Linked DNA regions of Xenopus tropicalis. The protein of the gene in region 1 interacts with the protein of each later gene in a biochemical or structural test. Links are inferred from orthologs where the notes say so. Each region holds a gene or a part of one and is shown in the gene's direction. Other genes may lie near its edges.

Region 1 (5,276 bases):
CATAGTATGAGAATGCAATGGAACGCCTGCAAAAGAATAAAGTGTCCTTGTACAAGAAAACAATGGATGTAAGTGTTTTCTTAACTTAGTATATCTGATTCTGTAATATGACAATTCATTGTATTTCTTTTTTTCTGTTAAGTCAAAAAAGAGCTATGAGCAGAGGTGCCGAGAAGCAGAGGACGCTGAGCAGAACTATGAACGGCTGGTAGCTTTAGGAAACCCAAAGCAAATAGAAAAGGTAACAAAGCAAGGAATGTTTAACATCAGGCCCTTTACATGTAAGCATGGCTGCCATCAATAATCATGTGACCCCATACTACTTAGTTAGCAGAGCTCACCCCCCCAGGTGGCCCCAATTATCAGACCATTGGCGTCCAGGGCCCCCTGGATGGTGTACTCAGCTAACAAGTATAATTGGGCCCCAATAAAAATCCCCTGTGCATGCATAACCACATTCACCAATTGCCTGGCCACACCCATTTATGCTGAAACACACTCATAGGCTGCCCAAGCCCTGCTCATCTTCAAGCCCTGACCTTTAGTGGCACATTAATCACACTTTAATATCTCAAATGCCAGCAATGCTCCCTGTACACCCCTGATGGGAGCCCTATATGTATGTAAAACAGTGCCAAGGCTGCAAGCCTGTATCTTGTTTGTGTAAACAGCAGCCTACAGATATGGAGACGGGGCATATTTACTTTTTAGAAAGAGCCTTAGGAAACTGATTATTCTATCACAAGTGTAGTTAAAAAAGTGTTTCTGAACTTAAAAATAAAATGGTTCCATCTAGCCCTCACCCACTACCTTGTAAAATCCAACAAGCTGGCAATAATAGCCTCTTATAAGCATCTCTTTGTCTACTTTGCTTGTGTGTGTATGTGGGTGGTGGGCCCTATTAACAAATGATTTCAGTAGTCATACTGTGGGATTACTATAAATAGTGCACAGAACCATTCACCCTCAGAGCCTCTATTCTAGATTTGTGAAATTGCTTTTATATCATTATAAAAACATTTTATAATTTCCCTCATCCCAGCAGAAAACCTTTACTTTGGGTGTGGTAAGGCTACATATACAGTTACACTGTTGCACTTATTCTGAGGACAAAGAAACATGGATTGGATTACAAGCACTCTCTGACTGTGCCTGCAGAAATGTACAGTAAATTCCCCTTGTCTGACAAGTGTACAGCATACACGTATACTCATGGATAAACAATTATTTAGGGCCCATTTACACTATACACAGAAATATCAAAATACTCAAATAGGTGAAAGTAAAATGGAAGGTTTTGTAGATTTTAAAAGAGTTGGTATTGGGAAAATACAATCCTGCCTTTAGAAGGTGGCACATAAGGGCATATTTTCAAAGATGTGTATATAACAAAAATGAAATAACTGTGAAATAACTTCAAATTTCCTTTTTAACTGAGCTTGCTGTTTACAAAAAGCCAGGGTTACTCTGGAATTTGTCAAAATGTTCCACTTCAATAGATTTGGCAGTGAAACAGAAACTGTGGTATTTAAATTTAATTTAAGAAATAACTTGCACAATTTTACTAACTGTGCTGATTTCTTCATGTTTACTATATTTACGTGGCTTTTTGGGTAATATTTGACTTGAAGCTGTGCAGGTACTTTAAGGCTTCTTGTAGGCTTTCCCCCATATTTAATAAAAGTTTGCCCAAGTGCAGTAACTCATAGCAACCAATAAGATGTTTGCTTGTAGACAGGTGACCAGTAAATGCTACCTGCTGATTGGCTGCTATGGGTTACTGCTCCTGGCAAACTTAGTGTCTTTTATTACATAATCCCCATTTTGTTTTATAAAACAATGGTTTGTGTAAACAGTGGTAAATTGTATTTCAGTGTCATTCTTCATACAGATTTTCTGCTCAGCATATATACAGTATGTGCATCTATTTATTTCTATATGGTATAGGTTCAATTATCCAGAAATTTCTATTAATTGGATCTCTGTACCATAAGGCTAGTAAAACATGTAAACATTAAATGAAGCCAATAGGATTATGTTGCCGCAAACACCAAGGGCCCTCGTGCACTGGAAGCCACCCACTCCCCCCTCTGTGCCCACTTGTGTGTGGGCATGTGTCAGCATAGGCAGGGGGTGCACACATTTTCCCCGGAGTAAAGTAGATATAGAGGAAGCTGCCCCCCCCCCCTCCTGCGGGGTCTGCTTCCTTTTTATTTACATCACTGGCCACCAATATGAATCATGCAGCTTAGCTAGGATCAAGTACAAGTGACTTTTTTAATATTACAGGGAAAAAGTAGCTTACTGCAAAGAGAATTGTTTGCTGAAAATAAGCTCTATAGGAAATGTCCTTCCCATAATTCAGAGCTTTCTAGATACTGGATTTCTGGATAAAAGATCCCATACCTATCAATCTTAAAGTAATTGCTTATCCAATAGTCAATTATGTCAATATAATGGCAAAAGAACCAGTACCCCCATAAATGCAAAGAAAGAAATATGCTAAATGTATTTATATCATAGTGCTTCCGATATTTATCAAGGAAACGTTGCAAACAGAAATGTTATATTTAAATGCCCTTAATTTCTTGTGAAAATGATGCCAAAATTACATTATGAAAATCAAAATTACATCCATTACATCAACAACTAAATATTTAACAAAGATCATTTTGCAATTTCACCACTTGATGTCACTGTTGTGTATTCAGGGTGTTATTGGCAAATTCCTACATGTTCATTTAGATTTCCTTCCAGGGTTTATGTGTTTCTGCAAACAATATTAAAGTCAATTCACTCTGTAAAACAAAAAGTAATGTGATGAATAAACCAACCTCCTGCTATTACAATAAAACACAAATATATATCTTGTTTTATTTTCATAAAACAACATAAATCTGTGGATGAATCTCTATATTTCATTGTAAACCTCACTGAACTATGCAAATCATTTAATGCACTGTATACCAGCTCCATAAATAATGCAGGCTTTGCACAAAAAACACTAACAGCAGGTAACTGATAGCATACTTTTAATAGGTAAATTGCTACTTTTTCTGGCTTTCAGTACGTTGTTAGTAGCTTCCATGTGCCTATTGTAGCTGTTTAATTTGTCAGTATGAAGCATTTTGTAATAGGACTTGATGACATGTTTGTGCTTTGTTTCAGTGCACTTAATCTCTTATTATAGTATTCTTTATTTTCAGAGCCAGAACAAAGCAAAGCACTGTAAGGATGCAGCAGAAGAAGCAGGTACAGTCACCCACCCTAAACACACATACAATTTTGGTAAATCGATTATGAAGGGTAAAAGCATTGCAGAGACTACTATATTATAGGAAAAAATGTCTCATACTTATAAAAGCCTTATTGGAGCTTAGTATGAAAGAAGCAGTAGCTTGGTAGTATGTTGGTGGGGACACATGAGTATTTTTGGAATACTTTTAGCACTGCATTTTAAAGCAGTTAAAAAACATGGCTCTAAAGTGCATGAAATTGTCCCCCATTGACCTACATTGCTGGAACATGCTGGAAATTGCATGTGATGGCATTGTTTTCAAATAAACCCCGAGAATGAAGGAAGTTACATTATGTACAACTGTCTAATAAAGAATATTATATTGTATCATTTACATTTTTGTTTAAAGATCACTGGTCACATCTTCTTATATTCCACCATCAATCAAGTCAATCTTGTTATTAATAAATATCAGGAACATAGTATTAAACACTTCAGTCTTACAGTAAATATGGAAATACTTAGTGCTTATGTCCCATTATATGATATAACTCCACAACAATATAACTCCTTGGGTTTGTTCTAGATCGGCTATATAAGAACAATATAGAACTTCTGGAAAAAGCTCGCATTGAGTGGGAGACAGAGCACAGTAACACATGCGAGGTATCCTTATAGTGCTGATGCCCTCTGAGCTGTGAGTGCTGGGTAAAAAAGTTTGTTCTTTACCTACCGCCTGTTCTATTCTGCAGGCATTTCAACTGCAAGAGACAGATAGAATCAGCATTCTGCGCAATTCCCTCTGGGTTCAGTGCAACCACTTCTCAAGCCAGTGTGTGCGTGATGACGAGGTAACCTGACAGTTATCATAAATAATCACAGATTCTCCATGTCCAGGCGCTGACGTTGTCCTTCCCACCCATCTAAAACACTTCAATTAGCAGCCAATGCAAGCTGATTGTGTCCTCACAATTCCAACAAATCTCTTGTTTTAGGGACTAAAATGTTGCAGCTTTATCCAACATTTTTTGGTGTGTTTTTTGTTTTCATTTTCATTATTACAAAAGATGTTTCTTGTACTGATCTGCACTTACTACTGACAGTTACACCCTGGGGCATCACAGGCTCTACCAACATCACTTCTGCCTGAGGCCCTAAAACTGCTGTGCTAAATGATGCCCTGTATTTCTAGATGATGGAGGAGGTCAGACAGACCCTTGAGCAATGCGACGTGACTACCGAAATTGATTTTTTCATACAGAGTAAAACTACAGGAAAAGTTCCACCAGGTACATGCTGGAAATTGCTTGTGATAGCATTGTTTTTGAGTAACTCTTAACTTAAATCCCAAGAACTGTGACACCCATAGGCTTTTGCAGACACCTTAGACATGATACATCTTTTAAAGGGAAGAAACACACCACCACATACTGGGAAATGCCTTTAAATCATTTATGGCAGCAGAAATGTGCCACGTTGAGCAGGAGGGCCCACTGACACCTGTGCCCACTTGGAGTTCCCTGGTATCCTGGTGGGCCAGTCTCACACTCTCTGTTTATTTAAGTGCTTTACAGCAGGGATCCCCAACCTTTTTTACCTGTGAGCAACATTCAAATGTAAAAAGAGTTGGATAGCAACATAAGCATGAAGACTCATGGGGTTACAAATAGGGGCTCTGATTGGCTATTTGGTAGCCCCTATATGGACTGGCAGCCTACAAGAGGCTATGTTTGGCAGTACACCAGTTTTTTATGCAACCAAAACTTGCCCAAAAGCCAGGAATTCAAAAATAAGCACCTTCTTTGAGGCCACTGGGAGCAAAACCCAAGGGACTGGTGAGCAACATGTTCCTCACAAGCTACTGGTTGGAGATCACTGCTTTACAGACACAGGATGAGCACTAACAATTATAAAACAATAATAGCACACCCAGGAACTTACCAGAATAAGTCCAGCCCTAGAACAACACTTTCTTGCAGGTTAGCAGGAACAGGAAGTAGGGACTGAGGAGGAAGCTGGCACTGGGAAGCAAGCAGAT
Region 2 (4,626 bases), on another chromosome or scaffold:
TGTGATCTACTCTGAGCCACTGTCTGTCCCTACAGGATAAATCTCCTCTGTACGACGATGCCACATCAGTACTGAGCGCCCTCCGGCAACTGCCCCCCCAGAGGAAGAAGCCCCCGGCACGGTGAGTGCGAGAAAGCTATCTGCTAGAGTGGAGAGAGCGCTCTCAGGAAGGAGTCAGTGCAGAGAGAGCGCTCTCAGGAAGGTGTCAGTGCAGAGAGAGCGCTCTCAGGAAGGTGTCAGTGCAGAGAGAGAGCTCTCAGGAAGGAGTCAGTGCAGAGAGAGCGCTCTCAGGAAGGAGTCAGTGCAGAGAGAGCGCTCTCAGGAAGGAGTCAGTGCAGAGAGAGAGCTCTCAGGAAGGTGTCAGTGCAGAGAGAGCGCTCTCAGGAAGGAGTCAGTGCAGAGAGAGCGCTCTCAGGAAGGTGTCAGTGCAGAGAGAGAGCTCTCAGGAAGGTGTCAGTGCAGAGAGAGCGCTCTCAGGAAGGTGTCAGTGCAGAGAGAGCGCTCTCAGGAAGGAGTCAGTGCAGAGAGAGCGCTCTCAGGAAGGTGTCAGTGCAGAGAGAGAGCTCTCAGGAAGGTGTCAGTGCAGAGAGAGCGCTCTCAGGAAGGTGTCAGTGCAGAGAGAGCGCTCTCAGGAAGGAGTCAGTGCAGAGAGAGAGCTCTCAGGAAGGTGTCAGTGCAGAGAGAGCGCTCTCAGGAAGGAGTCAGTGCAGAGAGAGCGCTCTCAGGAAGTAGTCAGTGCAGAGAGAGCGCTCTCAGGAAGGTGTCAGTGCAGAGAGAGCGCTCTCAGGAAGGAGTCAGTGCAGAGAGAGCGCTCTCAGGAAGGTGTCAGTGCAGAGAGAGCGCTCTCAGGAAGGTGTCAGTGCAGAGAGAGCGCTCTCAGGAAGGAGTCAGTGCAGAGAGAGAGCTCTCAGGAAGGTGTCAGTGCAGAGAGAGCGCTCTCAGGAAGGTGTCAGTGCAGAGAGAGCACTCTCAGGAAGGAGTCAGTGCAGAGAGAGCGCTCTCAGGAAGGTGTCAGTGCAGAGAGCGCTCTCAGGAAGGTGTCAGTGCAGAGAGAGCGCTCTCAGGAAGGTGTCAGTGCAGAGAGAGAGCTCTCAGGAAGGTGTCAGTGCAGAGAGAGAGCTCTCAGGAAGGTGTCAGTGCAGAGAGAGCGCTCTCAGGAAGGTGTCAGTGCAGAGAGAGCGCTCTCAGGAAGGTGTCAGTGCAGAGAGAGCGCTCTCAGGAAGGTGTCAGTGCAGAGAGAGAGCTCTCAGGAAGGTGTCAGTGCAGAGAGAGCGCTCTCAGGAAGGTGTCAGTGCAGAGAGAGCGCTCTCAGGAAGGAGTCAGTGCAGAGAGAGAGCTCTCAGGAAGGTGTCAGTGCAGAGAGAGCGCTCTCAGGAAGGAGTCAGTGCAGAGAGAGCGCTCTCAGGAAGTAGTCAGTGCAGAGAGAGCGCTCTCAGGAAGGTGTCAGTGCAGAGAGAGCGCTCTCAGGAAGGAGTCAGTGCAGAGAGAGCGCTCTCAGGAAGGTGTCAGTGCAGAGAGAGCGCTCTCAGGAAGGTGTCAGTGCAGAGAGAGCGCTCTCAGGAAGGAGTCAGTGCAGAGAGAGCGCTCTCAGGAAGGTGTCAGTGCAGAGAGAGCGCTCTCAGGAAGGAGTCAGTGCAGAGAGAGCGCTCTCAGGAAGGTGTCAGTGCAGAGAGAGCGCTCTCAGGAAGGTGTCAGTGCAGAGAGAGAGCTCTCAGGAAGGTGTCAGTGCAGAGAGAGCGCTCTCAGGAAGGTGTCAGTGCAGAGAGAGCACTCTCAGGAAGGAGTCAGTGCAGAGAGAGAGCTCTCAGGAAGGTGTCAGTGCAGAGAGAGCGCTCTCAGGAAGGTGTCAGTGCAGAGAGAGCACTCTCAGGAAGGAGTCAGTGCAGAGAGAGCGCTCTCAGGAAGGTGTCAGTGCAGAGAGAGCGCTCTCAGGAAGGTGTCAGTGCAGAGAGAGCGCTCTGAGTGTCAGTGTCTCTTCCCCTTCCTGCTCTCAAGTGCGAGAGTGCTGATCTCTGTGAGACTCATGACTCATCTCTCTCTCTGTCTCTCTCTGTCTCTGGGCAGACTGCCTATCGGTGCCGAGTACCCACCCCTGTGTGCCCCAGAGCAGAGGCCGGGGCAGATGCCCGCCATGAGTGCCAATGAAACTTACGCTGTTGTACAGAAGAAGAGGCCAGTGGCGCCAGAGACACGCCCACAGACAGTGCAGTATGATAATGTGCCCACTCACGTGCCCACTCACGTGCCCACCCCGGCACCTCTGGACCAGCTGTACAGCACTGTCACGCACAAAGGCAACCGGGCAAGCTCTGCCAACGCAATCTCCTCCAACTACACCCTGGCCGGTGCCCCTGGCCCCGCGGAAACTGCCTCCGTCACGTATGCCCAGGTGCCCATGCCCAGCAGGACAGGTAACAGGAGCGTCAGAAGCAGGACGAAAGCCCTAAGGGTCTTCCCGGGTTTGGTGGGCACCTTGTGCTGCTTTATGCCAGGGAATCTAGACTGAGGGTCCTGCCGGGTTGGCACCTTGTGCTGCTTTATGCCAGGGAATCTAGACTGAGGGTCCTGCCGGGTTGGCACCTTGTGCTGCTTTATGCCAGGGAATCTAGTCTGAGGGTCCTGCCGGGTTGGCACCTTGTGCTGCTTTATGCCAGGGAATCTAGACTGAGGGTCCTGCCGGGTTGGCACCTTGTGCTGCTTTATGCCAGGGAATCTAGACTGAGGGTTCTGCCGGGTTGGCACCTTGTGCTGCTTTATGCCAGGGAATCTAGACTGAGGGTTCTGCCGGGTTGGCACCTTGTGCTGCTTTATGCCAGGGAATCTAGACTGAGGGTCCTGCCGGGTTGGCACCTTGTGCTGCTTTATGCCAGGGAATCTAGACTGAGGGTTCTGCCGGGTTGGCACCTTGTGCTGCTTTATGCCAGGGAATCTAGACTGAGGGTTCTGCCGGGTTGGCACCTTGTGCTGCTTTATGCCAGGGAATCTAGACTGAGGGTCCTGCCGGGTTGGCACCTTGTGCTGCTTTATGCCAGGGAATCTAGACTGAGGGTTCTGGGGGGAGGTTGAGTGAGAGGTGGGAGCAGCGGATCAGGGGGGCACTAAATTAGCCATAGGCTGGTAACCTACCCCCGTGGGGTTCTCCCCCTGGCATCAAGGGACTTCTGCTTCCCCTGATGCCAAGTCTAGTGCCAGGGCTCAACCCAAGAAGCTAGCAGCCTGGGCAGTGCAACCTATTGGATGGTGCCAACGGCCCCTCGGCCCACTTACTCCTAGCGGGGGGGGTAGAGTTAGGGACACAGTTGTGGGGCAGAGGGGCAGTAGGGAAGGGGCAGAAGCAGCAGTGCCACCTGTGTGCATTGTGTGTCCTGTTAGTGTTGTGTGTTTCCTGTCCTGGCACTGCCCACTGGCATCTCCCTTATTTACCCTGCTCTCCCCTGCCCGCCCTGCTGCCATGTTCCCTTCCCCACCCACCATCCTGGCACTACCCGCCCACCCACCATCCTGGCACTACCCGCCCACCATCCTGGCACTACCCGCCCACCATCCTGGCACTACCCACCCACCATCCTGGCACTACCCACCCACCATCCTGGCACTACCCACCCACCCACCATCCTGGCACTACCCGCCCACCATCCTGGCACTGTGCCCCCCTTACCCCACGTCTGTCCTGTCTCAGTGTCTCGTGCTGTTCATGTTCCCGTCATGTCAATAAACTGCTCTGTGTCCCACTGTCTGTCTGTGTGTTTGTCAGCTGGGTGTGGGGGGGGCGGGAGGGGGGAGGAGCAAATGTGGGAGGGAAGGAAGGATTAGCAGTGCCAGGGGGGGTAAGATGAAGGGGTTGGGCAGTGCCAGGGGGTAAGATGAAGGGGTTGGGCAGTGCCAGGGGGTAAGATGAAGGGGTTGGGCAGTGCCAGGGGGTAAGATGAAGGGGTTGGGCAGTGCCAGGGGTAAGATGAAGGGGTTGGGCAGTGCCAGGGGGTAAGAATGAAGGGGTTGGGCAGTGCCAGGGGGTAAGATGAAGGGGTTGGGCAGTGCCGGGGGTAAGATGAAGGGGTTTGGGCAGTGCCGGGGGGTAAGATGAAGGGGTTTGGGCAGTGCCGGGGGGTAAGATGAAGGGGTTGGGCAGTGCCAGGGGGGTAAGATGAAGGGGTTGGGCAGTGCCGGGGGTAAAGATGAAGGGGTTGGGCAGTGCCGGGGGGTAAGATGAAAGGGGTTTGGGCAGTGCCAGGGGGTAAATGGGAGGGTGGATGCAGGGGTAGATGAGGGTTGGCGTCAGGGGTAGTAGTGCTGCGGGGGGGTAAGGTGGATGGGGGAAGATGAAGGGGTTTGGGAGTGCCAGGGGGTAAGATGAGGGTTTGGGCAGTGCCAGGGGGTAAGATGAAGGGGTTTTGGGCAGTGCCAGGGGGGGTAAGATGAAGGGTTGGGCAGTGCCGGGGGTGATGGGGTTGCAGCAGGGTAAGATGAAGGGGTTTGGGAGCTGGGGTAGATGAAGGTTGCTCGGGGGGGTAAGAATGAAGGGGTTGGGCAGTGCCTGGGGGTAAAGATGAAGGGTTGGGGCGTGGCCTAGGGGGGGTAAGATGAAGGGATGTCGGGGTAAGAGAGGGTTGGCAGTGCGGGGCAGGA

What was found.
Region 2: the proteins of pstpip1 (region 1) and ptpn18 form a complex in vitro, tested with the Homo sapiens proteins (2 studies listed by BioGRID and IntAct). The link is inferred for Xenopus tropicalis from reciprocal best matches to the Homo sapiens genes PSTPIP1 and PTPN18.

What each region holds. Positions count from the first base shown.
Region 1 is NC_030679.2:90,474,972-90,480,247, forward strand, and holds part of pstpip1 (proline-serine-threonine phosphatase-interacting protein 1), read left to right. Parts: intron 1-5; coding exon 6-68; intron 69-142; coding exon 143-241; intron 242-3,206; coding exon 3,207-3,252; intron 3,253-3,824; coding exon 3,825-3,904; intron 3,905-3,990; coding exon 3,991-4,089; intron 4,090-4,430; coding exon 4,431-4,527; intron 4,528-5,276. UniProt on the Homo sapiens protein: Involved in regulation of the actin cytoskeleton. May regulate WAS actin-bundling activity. Bridges the interaction between ABL1 and PTPN18 leading to ABL1 dephosphorylation.
Region 2 is NC_030684.2:709,714-714,339, forward strand, and holds the end of ptpn18 (tyrosine-protein phosphatase non-receptor type 18), read left to right. Parts: intron 1-35; coding exon 36-121; intron 122-2,064; coding exon 2,065-2,506; 3' UTR 2,507-3,736; downstream 3,737-4,626. UniProt on the Homo sapiens protein: Differentially dephosphorylate autophosphorylated tyrosine kinases which are known to be overexpressed in tumor tissues.